Linked DNA regions of Arabidopsis thaliana. The protein of the gene in region 1 interacts with the protein of each later gene in a pairwise test. Each region holds a gene or a part of one and is shown in the gene's direction. Other genes may lie near its edges.

What was found. Proteins that work in one complex are often made in the same cells at the same time.
Region 2: the proteins of NF-YA2 (region 1) and NF-YC1 interact in a two-hybrid assay, tested with the Arabidopsis thaliana proteins (2 studies listed by BioGRID).
Region 3: the proteins of NF-YA2 (region 1) and NF-YC9 interact in a two-hybrid assay, tested with the Arabidopsis thaliana proteins (3 studies listed by BioGRID).

Annotation. Positions count from the first base shown.
Region 1 is NC_003074.8:1,675,618-1,681,025, reverse strand, and holds NF-YA2 (nuclear factor Y, subunit A2), read left to right. Parts: upstream 1-2,057; 5' UTR 2,058-2,474; coding exon 2,475-2,520; intron 2,521-2,636; coding exon 2,637-2,906; intron 2,907-3,222; coding exon 3,223-3,317; intron 3,318-3,428; coding exon 3,429-3,647; intron 3,648-3,735; coding exon 3,736-4,104; 3' UTR 4,105-4,522; downstream 4,523-5,408. UniProt on the Arabidopsis thaliana protein: Stimulates the transcription of various genes by recognizing and binding to a CCAAT motif in promoters.
Region 2 is NC_003074.8:18,007,683-18,011,905, reverse strand, and holds NF-YC1 (nuclear factor Y, subunit C1), read left to right. Parts: upstream 1-1,887; 5' UTR 1,888-1,967; coding exon 1,968-2,668; intron 2,669-3,009; coding exon 3,010-3,013; 3' UTR 3,014-3,313; downstream 3,314-4,223. Other genes in the region: NPC6 (non-specific phospholipase C6), read left to right, coding at 1-253; AT3G48600 (SWIB complex BAF60b domain-containing protein), read left to right, coding at 543-761, 890-1,219, 1,601-1,738; XTH11 (xyloglucan endotransglucosylase/hydrolase 11), read right to left, coding at 3,565-3,916, 4,000-4,190. UniProt on the Arabidopsis thaliana protein: Stimulates the transcription of various genes by recognizing and binding to a CCAAT motif in promoters.
Region 3 is NC_003070.9:2,880,627-2,885,252, forward strand, and holds NF-YC9 (nuclear factor Y, subunit C9), read left to right. Parts: upstream 1-1,864; 5' UTR 1,865-2,060; exon of another isoform or gene 2,061-2,514; 5' UTR 2,515-2,517; coding exon 2,518-3,213; 3' UTR 3,214-3,222; exon of another isoform or gene 3,223-3,404; 3' UTR 3,405-3,716; downstream 3,717-4,626. Other genes in the region: CAX11 (cation exchanger 11), read left to right, coding at 487-1,251; AMI1 (amidase 1), read left to right, coding at 3,829-3,941, 4,023-4,175, 4,308-4,432, 4,524-4,626. UniProt on the Arabidopsis thaliana protein: Stimulates the transcription of various genes by recognizing and binding to a CCAAT motif in promoters. Interacts with REF6 to directly regulate SOC1 transcription in response to flowering signals from photoperiod and gibberellic acid pathways.

The DNA of each region.
Region 1 (5,408 bases):
GAAGCTTATGAACAAGTGGAGCCAATGAGTGACTTACATATTAATCGCATAGGAGAATAAGATGAACAATATCTATAGCGACTGTTTTTTTATATATATTTTCAGAAGAAAAGCAAAATCTCTTTAAGAAAGCTAATGGGTTATTTTATATATCTTAGTGTTGTTAATCTTCTTTTATATAATAAGGTTGTAATTAGGTTTATGGTTAATTAGTGTCAAAACTAATTTCATCCCACAGAGCAGCTTTAGTATTGTTATCTATACGTGTCTAGAGGAGACGAATCAGACTGACAATTTTTATTCTTAGTAAATAATAATTATTCATCGTAGTTAAAATCTACAACTAATATGAAAACCATTTTACATGTAGAAATCTTTGAAAAAGACTAAAAAATGAGTAGATCGAATATGTATATTATATATACCAATATACAGTAGTAAACCAATTTTGAAAGTTCTTCATCTGTAGAAATATTTTGATTGTGGAATGTAGCTCAACATCAATCAATTACAAAACAATAGATCTACCCATCGTACGTTGACTATCATCTTGCATCCTCATCTACCTTTGGTGGCAGGTTGACCTTTTAATGTTGATATATAACATGCTTTGATATCTCTTTAATGCTTTAGACCAAAACATACTTTTTATTTATTGATAAAGTGTTTAGCAAAACGTACATTCATGAAAAGTACTATATCGATCGATGACTACAAATTCATATCTTCACCATAAAACATTTCTAGTTTTGCTTTGAGTCTTATGATTCGCATTTTGCAGTCTAGCTATATTCCCTACATTATTTGAAAATAAGCTATTTAATTATGTTGTTCTTTTGCCAACTACATTAAAATCGTTGATCACAAATCCATAAAAAGATTGTGCTTTAGATATATATTTACGATAAAGCAATAAACTAAGACTAGAACTGAGCTTTCTATATGTCAGTGAAAGTAGATATTTTTGTTAGAAGATAGTGTACGTACTACTGTACTATAGTGCATAATTCAATTAATTATTGTGTTTCGGATGAAAGAAAAGCTGCTAGTGGGATATGCTTAAGCACCAGTGCACGACGTATAAACAAAAGCAAGCACTAACGTAAACCCTTTTTTTTTCTTTGTCAAGCCCGTAAACCAATATTCTATTTTTCAATTTAACCTTATTTTATTTCTCTTAGATTTAATTCAGTTAAGTTCAATTCAACATCTAATATAAACCAAATTCTTAAATTAGGTAAAGGAAGCTAATCCATAATAATCAAGTCCAACACTAAAAGCAAAAGCAATCTCTTACAAATATATAACATGTATTATAATGTCTCCGGAATGATATCTATAGAGCTTAACTATTAGTTGTCTAATTTCAATCATAAACACGTGTACGGTCGGGTTCACAAAATAACTAGAACTATTTAAAGAAACATAACAAAAGAGGAAACAAAAGGACAAATGTGTGAAAAACATTTGAAAACCTAGTTAAGAATAACATCCTCAACAAGTGGAAATGCTATTGCGAAAATATGTTTGGTCTATTTACAGAATTATACAAAGGTTGATTCTGGCAGACTTTATATAATGTTTTGGTAGGGAATAAGTCACGAGCTTATAATAGCAAATATTGGCATGTCATTGTTGAAGATGTCAGATTGTTACTTTATTTTAGTTTTAATTATTTTATTATTTTTGAGTGGTGATCCTTTTTCCATATGACGTATATGCACATTTTTAATTTAAAAGCTTACAAGGACCACAATCATAATAATAAACGATGCAATTGACAAGCCAAGCACTACTCTTACCTAGTGGAAAAATATCAAAAATCAAAAATGAAATAAAAATGGATTTAAGTGGGATCATTGTAGCTTTTTAAAACAAAGCACGTCAAGCCAACGCTATAGTTAAAAACCAGACCAATTATTTTTAGTTGTTTTACATTTATATCTCCAACTCCAAATAAAGTAGAAAATTAAAAAAAAAAACAGAGCAGCATAAAAGTTGAAGGTGATTGGTTGATAAAGCTATAGTTGTCATCTACATTTGTAATTCATATATTAGTACGTCTCTCTCTTCTCTTTCTCTCTCTCCCTACTAAATACTAATGTGTGTGAATGAATCTCTGTTTCTTGTTTTGGAACCGAGATGGCTTCCTAACAATTGGGCTTTTCTCTGCCTCTTCCTAGGAATCTGAAGCTCTTCTCTACTCTCTACTCTATCACTCCATCTGTGTAAGTTTTACTCAACCTCTTTCTCTTTTTTTCTTTGCTTTATTCTTTTAGATTCACATAGGTTTTCGTGTGTTTGATTTTGACCAACATTTGGGATTTTATTTTACTTCTTTTTGGAGTTTGTTTGCTATTGGGGATCTCTAGTCTGTGAAAAAGATTTCAGTTCTTGCGTCTTATCTTCTCGTTTCACACAATCTTTTTTTCTTACTTTAGACAACAAGTCTGTCTCTTGATGATGATTCACATATGGGTTTTGTCATTCGTGTGGTTTTGCGTAATACCCAATCCCAAAGTTCTTTCCTTTCTTTCTTACAAGTTTTCTAAATTGGGTTTGAAATTTGACAAAGATTTCACATCCAACTCTTATTATTACTTTGTTGACTTTTTTTTTTTTGTTATCTTCCACAGGAACATATCTTTCTTATTCTTCTAGGCACTATCTATTTTTCACTTTTTGTAATTGGAATTTGGAGATGGCTATGCAAACTGTGAGAGAAGGTCTCTTCTCTGCTCCACAGACTTCTTGGTGGACTGCTTTTGGATCTCAGCCGTTGGCTCCGGAGAGTCTCGCCGGCGATTCTGACTCATTCGCCGGAGTTAAGGTCGGATCTGTCGGAGAGACAGGACAACGTGTGGATAAACAGAGCAACTCTGCAACGCACTTAGCTTTCTCACTTGGTAAACTCTTAACTTCTTTTGCCCTCAAATAGATGGTTCTAGTGAAAATTTCTGAATTTGTCAAAAGTGGCTTTTTTTGGAAAGTGCTAGTACATGTTTTACTAGTTATTTATAGGTATGACTGAGAGTGAACAGAACTGAGCTAAATTGTCCGAAAAGAGAATCTAAGATTCTACAAGATATAAAGATGTTTAAAAAGATATCTTTATGGTTCAAATTCTGGATTGTAAAAATGTTATTTGTTCTGTAGGTAATTGTGAATCTAAGAATGCGTTTGTGATCTGATTTGGAATAATTTTCACTATGTATGTATTAGGTGATGTAAAGAGTCCAAGACTTGTGCCAAAGCCTCATGGAGCTACTTTCTCAATGCAATCACCTTGCTTGGAACTTGGATTTTCTCAGCCACCGGTAAAAACTTTTCCGCATTGAAAAACATATAATGAATAAGCCTATCATGAGTTTCCTTTAATTTGTTTCTGAGTATTTAGTGTTTGTTGGCTGTTTACTTTGGTCATTTAGATCTATACAAAGTATCCCTATGGAGAACAACAATACTATGGAGTTGTTTCAGCCTATGGATCTCAGAGCAGGGTAATGCTTCCTCTAAACATGGAAACGGAAGATAGTACCATCTATGTGAACTCAAAGCAATACCATGGAATCATAAGGAGACGCCAATCCCGCGCAAAGGCTGCTGCTGTTCTTGATCAGAAGAAATTGAGTAGTAGATGCCGCAAGGTAACATATAGAAACTAGTTTGATACTTTTGTGCAAATGAGATTTTATTACTGAATTAGTGTGTTTGCTTTTGTTATGTATGTTGCAGCCATATATGCATCATTCGCGCCATCTCCATGCATTGCGGCGTCCTAGAGGATCCGGTGGGAGATTCTTGAACACTAAAAGTCAGAACTTGGAAAATAGCGGAACCAATGCAAAGAAAGGTGATGGAAGTATGCAGATTCAGTCTCAGCCTAAGCCTCAGCAAAGTAACTCTCAGAATTCTGAAGTTGTTCATCCGGAAAACGGGACCATGAACTTATCGAACGGATTAAATGTGTCGGGATCAGAAGTTACTAGCATGAACTACTTCCTAAGTTCTCCCGTTCATTCTCTTGGTGGCATGGTAATGCCTAGCAAGTGGATAGCAGCAGCAGCAGCAATGGATAATGGCTGCTGCAATTTCAAAACCTGATCCTTTACCGTTTCACAGTCAAACGGAGAGAGATAAAGAACTCTTGCCTTGGTATAAAGGATTTTCCTTTTTGCCAATCCGCTTTGGCTGTGAACAGGCAAATCATCTTTGGCTCATTCTCTATTAAGGTAACTTCGCCGTGAGGTGAAAAAAGCTTTGATATATTTATCTTCAGTGTAAAAGTAGTTAAAACTGGTGAAGAACAATGATGTGTTTGGTCACTAAACCCACTTGTTCCAACTAGTAGTGTGTGTTTTAAGAAAACTCTGTTATCTGATTTTGTAGCTCTCTCTGGCTTTGTGTGTTTCTCAAACAACTGTAACAACTTTTAAGTTATGTGGTTTATGTAACATATTTAAGACCTGTGTTTTTGTATATTTGGTCGAATTTATGTTATTATTTGCTTATTATCCAGGACTTATACAGCAAAGACAGAGTAAAAAAAATTCTGTTCCAAATCTAATGGTTGATCAATCTAGCTATCGATCCGAGATCGAAAAAAAATCGAGCAACGTTCAACCACTCAACTAAGACATTCCATTTGTCAACATGTGAAACGATATATTATATATATCCTAAACAACCATGGTTAGCTTTTAACCGCAGTTAATGTTACATGTATTAAACGTCTAAATTATAAATAGATGGCGGTTTTTTCCCAAGTAAATCTGTAGTGAAAAATAAATGCGGAAATGGCTACAAAAAACGTAAAATATTTAGAGTAAAAAAAAATAAAAACGTAAAATATTTAGCACTCTATAATATAATAAGATTATACTTGAAACTGCATTTACTTTTGTTTAAGAATAAATATTAAATAAATTTAACATTGGATTAGGTATATAATCTATTGTAGTGGCCAAAATCTATAATATCTTTAAGTTTTAGATAGCTATATGTGATATCCATGATATGATTAATAATATATTAGCAAATATGAAAGAAAATATTCATATTCTATTACTATGTTTTTACTGTAAAATGATCATGATTTTTTTTTGATATTTATAGCTTGGATAAATAATATAATATTATAAAATAATTCGCTTAGAGTATTAGTAATACTGTTTTATATATTTTTCGTAGGGTGAAAACAATTTTTCTGTAATATATATTTGTGAAGTTTTGTATTATTGTAGATGAAGAAGATATTGACACTCTATATACAGGATTATATGTTTTTGAATTTGTTTTTATATTATAGATGTAGTATTATGGTTATGATTGCGTTTTTAATTTTTGTGTTATATGTTTGTATAATACTAATGACAAAATCTGTATATAGTCTAGTAAAATTTGGGCAA
Region 2 (4,223 bases), about 16 Mb from region 1:
TAAAGAAGACGCTGCTCTTTCTGAGTTTCAAGGTGAAGTGGTTCAGCTTGCAGCGGTTCTCAATGGTGATCACTTCCTCAGTAGCTTCCCGGAAGAAATTGGAAAGAAGATGACTGTGAAACAAGCTCATGAGTATGTCAAAGGAGCTACTTCTCGGTTCATTAGAGCTAGTAAAGAGGCAATGAAGCTTGGTGCCGATAAATCTGCTATTGTCGATATGCGATCTTCGCTCACTACACGGCCACACAACTGATTAAAAATCTTGTTTGCATTCGTCTTCCTATGTTTTGATCTGAAAATGTGTGATTTTATGTATGGAAACTAGAATTGAGGAACAAAGAAATAGACAAAATTCATTGTTAATGTTAGTGATATGTTGAGCAATCGAAAGATCTTCATAAACTCCCAATATAACTGAAGCCCAATTAGGCCCATATATAAATATTCAACAAGGCCCAAAATGAGTTGCATCAATTTCTTTAGTTGGAGACTTTTCTTCAATTGTTTATTGTTAGGGGCAGTGGAGTGAAGGAGAAACAACAATGTCGCCAATTTCTAAGATTCTAGGAGGATGCAGGACACTGATGGCGAAGGCGGTGACTAATGCGACGGCTACCGGCGCCGGCGTTGATAGAAGAGGAGGAATTCATAAGATTTTTCCAGTCTCAGAGTCGCTGGCTAGATTCGTCGGCCAAAGCGAAGTCTCTTTTTCCACCGCCATGGAGAAAGTGGAGCAGTATACCGATGATCACAATCTTTGGGTTAGGGATTTCGAAACTCTTCTCCAGTTTCCTTTCATTCTACTTTTTTTTTTGGTGATTTCTAGGTCTTTTGATCTGATTCTTTCTGTTGGAGCAATGTATCTGATTTATAGGTCTTTGATTTGTAGAATCCGGAGAATATAGAGGAGATACTGTGCGATGATAACTTGAAGACGATTTTCGATGGCCAAGACAAAGTCGTCGGAGTCAGAGAGATGACGGAGCTTTTGTTGCGACATTTTCCTAACGTTAGAACTATGTCGGCGAAGGTGAAGGCTACCGGTGGAGGTACTATAGAAAAATGGGGGTTCAATGATATTGTGAAAGTCTCAGAGCCGCTGGCTAGATTCGTCGGCCAAAGCGAAATCTCTTTTGACGCCGCCTTGAGAAAATTGCTAGATTATGCCTTTGATCACAAGCTCGTAGATGAGGGTGTTACTCTGCTCGAGTTTCCTTGGGTTAGCTTTTTTACTTTCCTTATGATCTCCTCTTTACATGTTTATGCATTTAGGGATTGGAGTCTCTAGAGACTGGAGAATGGTAGTGATTTGATTCTTGTGTTGGTCATTATTGGAGTAATTGACATCTACGCTGAAAATGTTGTTTACTCACTTGAATGTTTTGGTTTTGTTTGTGGAAATGGTCTTTTCTGATTGCATATTTTGAAAACTTAGCTTGTCAATTCATACACTGTCAGATGAAGAATTCACCAGTTACGAATATAGAGTGTCTTTAGGTGGCTTTGGACCTTGTGCTTGCTTCTCTGTTTGGTGGTCATAGATTGCATTTTCATGTTTAGAGATTATGATTTGTTTAGAGCTCACTTGTTTCATTTGTAGATTACGAAGTGTAGTAAATGGCGGATACGATGCGATGATACCTTGAAGACGATACTCGATGGCAAAGACAAAGTCGGAAATAAAGAGCTCTCTTCACTCTTGATGCAACATTTTCCTGACAGCTCTCTTCACTCTTGATGTTTTCTTTTGGTTCATTTCGGATGCATATGAACTTTGGTACGTGTAAAAAAAAAACAAAATTTAACTTGAAATAGAAAATAGAAAAAAATTAATTTAGGAAATAGAAAAAAAAGAGAGAAAATCATCAGCTACATCGCTGTCCACCTTATCCACTTGTACCCCAATCCCTTTGGCAAAAACTTGTCACGACCTTTTTGATCCAAAAATCAAAATCCAAAACCGACCAATGGATACCAACAACCAGCAACCACCTCCCTCCGCCGCCGGAATCCCTCCTCCACCACCTGGAACCACCATCTCCGCCGCAGGAGGAGGAGCTTCTTACCACCACCTTCTCCAACAACAACAACAACAGCTCCAACTATTCTGGACCTACCAACGCCAAGAGATCGAACAAGTTAACGATTTCAAAAACCATCAGCTTCCACTAGCTAGGATAAAAAAGATCATGAAAGCCGATGAAGATGTTCGTATGATCTCCGCAGAAGCACCGATTCTCTTCGCGAAAGCTTGTGAGCTTTTCATTCTCGAGCTCACGATCAGATCTTGGCTTCACGCTGAGGAGAATAAACGTCGTACGCTTCAGAAAAACGATATCGCTGCTGCGATTACTAGGACTGATATCTTCGATTTCCTTGTTGATATTGTTCCTAGAGATGAGATTAAGGACGAAGCCGCAGTCCTCGGTGGTGGAATGGTGGTGGCTCCTACCGCGAGCGGCGTGCCTTACTATTATCCGCCGATGGGACAACCAGCTGGTCCTGGAGGGATGATGATTGGGAGACCAGCTATGGATCCGAATGGTGTTTATGTCCAGCCTCCGTCTCAGGCGTGGCAGAGTGTTTGGCAGACTTCGACGGGGACGGGAGATGATGTCTCTTATGGTAGTGGTGGAAGTTCCGGTCAAGGGAATCTCGACGGCCAAGGGTAAAGTTTCATTTTCTGTGCAATGTGATATACATTGATTGATTACATGATCGTCTAGGGTTTTAGGAGATGGAATGATAAACAATCTCTAAGTCTGGTTTGTTTGGGATATAATCATGTTAGTCCAAGATTTCTCTGTTTATTAAGGTTTTAGGATTTGGAATGATAAACAATCTCTAATCCTGTAATCATCAAGATTTGAAAATTGTTTTCATATCGCAATTTGCAAACATTGCTATATCAAACAACTAGATTCTCTTGCTCTTCTGCTGAATCTGAATGAATCAATGAACTATGGCTCCTTAAACTTACCTTTCAATGTTTTGGTATCATTTTTGCAGTTAAGCTCAGAGTATTCCAGATGATGCTTGACCTGCTTGAAGATAGCAGATATTAGTCGACCTCGCCTTGAATTTTGGATGTGTTTGATAGATTATGCCTAAATTCAATGAAAAGGCTTCGTTAAAGAAGAGTAAAAAAAACTCTTGTTTCTCTCTGTTAACGTATATGTTATTGTAGCAAAACCATCATTGCTGCGACTTAGCCTAACTATATATAATCTAATGTGCAGTTTCTATTGTATGCTTCTTTCCGATTTTTTCTCATATTTGACTTATCTTGATGTCTGAGAAAATGCAGTCTTGTAACCTGTAAGGTTCTTTTCAGAGGTTTCAGTGCTTGTAAACCTCAAGCAAACCCGATCTGAACCAACTTGGTTCTGTGTAAATAGGTATCTGTATATGAACTCGTGACATAGTAATGTATCTAGCATTGATGACAATAATGTTGTTATTTGATAGAAAAGGCTTATCATAAAGCATCTTACAGTAACATAAGTTATTTTTTCAAGATAATTGTTTTGTAGGCTTAACCCTGTGACAGGTATTGATCTTTCTCTAAGTGTAACTTCCACATTCTTGAGGCACCTTTGGATATCGCTGTCTGTCAGAACAATAGTCATAATCCAGGTACGTCTTCCTTGCGTTTAGGTACAGTGTCTTCTCTTTAGAGCTTAGCTGTTTGCGATTCCACCAGAACTTAGGATCAGTGCATTTATCTATTCCCATGAACTCAGTCTTACACCCTTCAATCTTTGATGCCTGGAACTTAGCAATGTAAGGCATCTGCTTCGGGTCAATTATCGATCCGTTTTGCACACTTCCCATTAGGAACATTGTCTGCACCGATGGGTAGTAAACATCTGGATTCTTGCTGTACACCCTGATCGGTGTATCGTCAACATAAAACCTGAAAATGTGGAAATACATTTTCTTTTTGTTACTGATGTTAATCAATGGATGATCTGATAAAAAGTGTTATATGATACTCACACAAGTTGATTAGGGTTCCAAAGAAAACTGTAGGAATGGTAATCTTTTGTTGGATCAAACCAGAGACGAAACCTCTGATCTTTGCCTCCTTCACCGTACAGATACATATTCGTATTCAGCAAATACGGTGGCCCATTCTTTCCCAAGATCTGGAAACAGAGCTCATCATGGCGGCTTGAACGGGAGATTAACTGCCGTATAGCAGAAAAACAGATTTCAAAAAG
Region 3 (4,626 bases), on another chromosome or scaffold:
ATTTTATGGTAGTATCATATTCAGCTACCAATTGTGAACTCCGATATTGTTTAGTTTAGATTATGCGTTTAAAGGTTTTAATTTGCTTCCTGTTTTCTTCTTAGTGTACTCTAAGGTTATGATAAGTCTCTGTGTTAGTCTAGTGAATGAGCATTTTCACTTGCTTAGGCGTTTTCAACTGGATTGTAGCTGTGTTGACAGCTCAGGAGCAATCGTTAGATCGGTTAGCTAGAGAGCTAACATGTTAGAAAGAAGTTGGGCAAAATGAGTTTGAGAGAATTTCGTAGGGTTTAGGATTGGGAACTGGTCAAGACTCGTTAATCAAGTCTCTCTATGATATGTATTCCTTTGGTGAATTCGACTCTAAAGGAGTTTACCTGTTTGGATCTTATCCAGGTTACTATATTTTTTCTGTTAGACTGCATTTAAGTTTGAAATAAGTTTAGTGAAGGTTGTCTGATTCTGCTTTTGCTGCTGTGATTGCAGATCTCGAGGATGTGGGAAACTCCTGTATCAGTTCTTTTGAACCTTACCATCCCAAAACCTTCTCCTTCGGAATGGTCTAGGTTTTATCGCTCTGCCAACATTGTTTTCTGCCCTTTTGCCCTTTTATACACTTGCAACTCTTTTGTACAACTAAACCACCCAATTTCATTCCTCTTTCCAAACACCCATCTCCCGCTTTGGCTTGTTGTCCTCTTCATGACGTCTTCCCTAGCGTTCCTCCACTTCACAGTAGAAAAACAACCACCAAAAACCGAGCAACTGCCGGTCATTGTTGTAGCTTTCATAATGAGTGTTTTCTGGATATCAACAATTGCTGGTGAGCTCCTTAACTGCTTGGCTGCGCTTGGAACCCTCCTTAAACTGCCTCCGGCGCTCCTTGGCCTAACCGTTCTTGCTTGGGGAAACTCGGTTGGTGACCTAGTTGCTGACGTGGCAGTTGCAAAGGCAGGTAGACCAGCAATGGCTATGGCCGGTTGTTTTGCAGGTCCAATGTTTAACATGCTTGTTGGACTTGGATCGGCCTTGGTGATGCAAACAGCTAATGTATATCCAGACGCTTACAAACTTGGATTCCATGTAGGTATTGTGATAGCTTTCGTCTTCTTGTTGCTTAGTCTAATGGGATCTCTGTTGGTAATAACCTGGTCTAGATTCCGAGTTCCGAGATTCTGGGGGATCTGTCTTGTTGGACTGTATGTTGCTTTCACATTTGTTAGTTTGATCATCGCCAGCGTTTCAACCTGATCATATGCGTGAAGTCTGCACATTGAATAATCTAGGGTCAACCAGGGTTCATTGTTTAGGAATTTTTGTTGTCTAGAAGGGAATTGCCAAAATTTTGAGCTCAGCTGATGGCCACCGCCAGACCAGTAATCTTCGAATCCCACAAAAAGTTCTTGTGATCGTCCGAGCCAGATTAGTAAAGTTTGGTAGATAGGTGATGGTAAAATATATGTGCTTTGGGAGAAGATTTTGACTCCCCCATCTGGTTTACTTTTCCATTGATTGTACTGGTCTTGTTTTTTTGGGTCTGTTATATATGTATAAACCACACATTTGTATTCTTTTGATATTAATGAGAAATACTTCATTGATCCTAGAATGTGTATTAGAGCAGAACAAAATGTTGATTCTGGTTCTTTTTTATGTGATTTGATTCTCTGTGAATGCCAAATATGTTGTGATACAACAAAACTACTTGTGAAATTTGAACCTCCAAAGAAGATAATTAAAGGTTGCCAATTAAATCCTAAGAAGATAATAAAAATGAATTAATTAATGTAAGAGATAAAACAAATCATGATCTGACAAGAGCAGAAGAATCTTGACATAAGCCCAATGGTTGACACGACACCCAGCTTTTAAAGCTCTTTCCACTTACTTCCCCTTGTCTTTCTAAATTCCTCCTCATTGTTAAAGTCGAAAAAAGGGTAAAGCAGCAAAACCCTAATAAAATCACAACAAATTAACACAAAAAAACCAGATCTTAAAACTCTCTCTACCCACCAAGAGGATCAACCAGTCTCTTCCCCTTCAGATTCTCCTTTCCACAGGTCACTCTCGTTTGCAGATTCTTTTTTTCAATTTGACTTGTTCTTACTTATATATTGTGGAATTCACATGATAAAATAATATGCTTGGTGTTGTAGGAACAATTCTAGTTGTTCTGTGTTAGCAGATTCTTTGTTCTGTCTATTTTGAAGGAAATTAAAGGCAATCCCTTTCGATATTTTCCTGTTTTCCTTATCAAATTTATGGGTTGGAATAAGTAGGTTGATGTATTGTCTTTTAATTCGAAGCTCAATTTTCATACTTATTGCTGTTTAGATCTTCAAGGTTAATCTAGAATTACAGATTAGACCATATATAAAGTAAATTCAGCAGATTCTTATTTATGTAAATTGTTTGTTAGCAACCTTATCTCCTTCACATTTCTTTAAAATTCTGGTCAGATGTTTCTTAAGAGCTTAGAATGAATCCCAAAGTTCTGTTTTTTTATTCTGGTAGTGAATGGATCAACAAGACCATGGACAGTCTGGAGCTATGAACTATGGCACAAACCCATACCAAACCAACCCGATGAGCACCACTGCTGCTACTGTAGCAGGAGGTGCGGCACAACCAGGCCAGCTGGCGTTCCACCAGATCCATCAGCAGCAGCAGCAGCAACAGCTGGCACAGCAGCTTCAAGCATTTTGGGAGAACCAATTCAAAGAGATTGAGAAGACTACCGATTTCAAGAACCACAGCCTTCCCCTTGCGAGAATCAAGAAAATCATGAAAGCGGATGAAGATGTCCGTATGATCTCGGCTGAGGCGCCTGTCGTGTTTGCAAGGGCCTGTGAGATGTTCATCCTGGAGCTGACACTCAGGTCGTGGAACCACACTGAGGAGAATAAGAGGCGGACGTTGCAGAAGAACGATATTGCTGCTGCTGTGACTAGAACCGATATTTTTGATTTCCTTGTGGATATTGTTCCCCGGGAGGATCTCCGAGATGAAGTCTTGGGAAGTATTCCGAGGGGCACTGTCCCGGAAGCTGCTGCTGCTGGTTACCCGTATGGATACTTGCCTGCAGGAACTGCTCCAATAGGAAATCCGGGAATGGTTATGGGTAATCCCGGTGGTGCGTATCCACCTAATCCTTATATGGGTCAACCAATGTGGCAACAACAGGCACCTGACCAACCTGACCAGGAAAATTAGCAAGAAACTGTGAGTCTTCCAGCTTCTTTTAGGCCTACCTTGTAGTCTTGGGGTTTTGTTTCTGTTTTCGAATAATGGTAACCTTTGTATAACTTATTTCAGTATCGTCTCAGTTTGGTACTATGTCAGTTTTGGTATTCTTATCTTATTGAAGTAAAAATGTGATAGTGTATTCGCTTTTCTCCCTGCAGCGTTCTAGTCTCGTCCAGGTGAAAGGAGGGAGACCTTAGACAAGAAAATGAAAAGAACATATCAGAATTGTCAAATTGGGTGTTGTAGAAGAATCTAAAGTGTTTATGTCTATCGATCCTTTTCTAAACGAGAAATTTAGGGATGAACCAGAAAGAAGAATGTATAAACTGTAAGAAACAAGTGTGCTTTTGACAAAAGTTTTTTTATTTGAATGTTAATTTCTGTGTCTTTATCACACATATTAAGTTATTATCCACAAAATGTATCTCATTGGATATTTAAAACAAAAGGACAATAATATTAAGGAAAAGACAAAATAGAAAATGACTTGGCCACTGTAGCCGCGTTAATAATGTGATAGCTTTTATCTACAAGAAGCGTTACTTGGTCGTCATCTACCTTCTCAGAAAGGGAGCTGCATCAATGGCGACCAATAATGATTTTGGAGCTTTCATTGAGAAAGTTACAATCTCTCCAACTTCTACTTCCTCGTCGCCTCCTTCTCTACAGGGTCTTACTTTCGCCATTAAAGACATGTAAGATATCCAACTACTTACAGAGTTTCTTCTATACTTTCTTGTCAATCAATTTTTGAGCTTATTGCTTGGTTTGATCAGTTTTGATGTGGAAGGACGCGTTACCGGTTTTGGTAACCCGGATTGGTTAAGGACACACTCGGCAGCTACTTCTACAGCTCCAGTAGTTTCATCTCTCTTAGAAGCTGGTGCCACAGCTTTGGGTATTACCATTATGGATGAAATGGCTTACAGGTTCAATTTCACATCTTTTCTGGTTTAGGAGTTCATGTTTTAAGAAACAGGATATGTCATAACAGAGGCTAGAACTAAAATATGACTAGGTTTGTTACGTTTTTTCTGAGCATGTTCTTACTTAATATGCAGTATAAACGGAGAAAATGCGCATTATGGGACTCCGAGAAACCCGATTGCTTTCGATAGAGTGCCTGGGGGATCATCGAGTGGCTCAGCCGTAGCTGTAGCTGCTCGTCTTGTGGATTTTTCTATTGGTGAGCTGAAGAAAAATTGCCAAAAGTTGTAACCATACTACTGATCATAAAGTATTTTTCTTCCCTGTCTAATTGGTTTTTGATCAATCAGGAACTGATACCGGAGGGAGTGTACGAGTTCCAGCATCTTACTGTGGGATTTTCGGTTTCCGGCCATCCCACGGTGCAGTTTCCACTGTCGGACTTACTCCAAT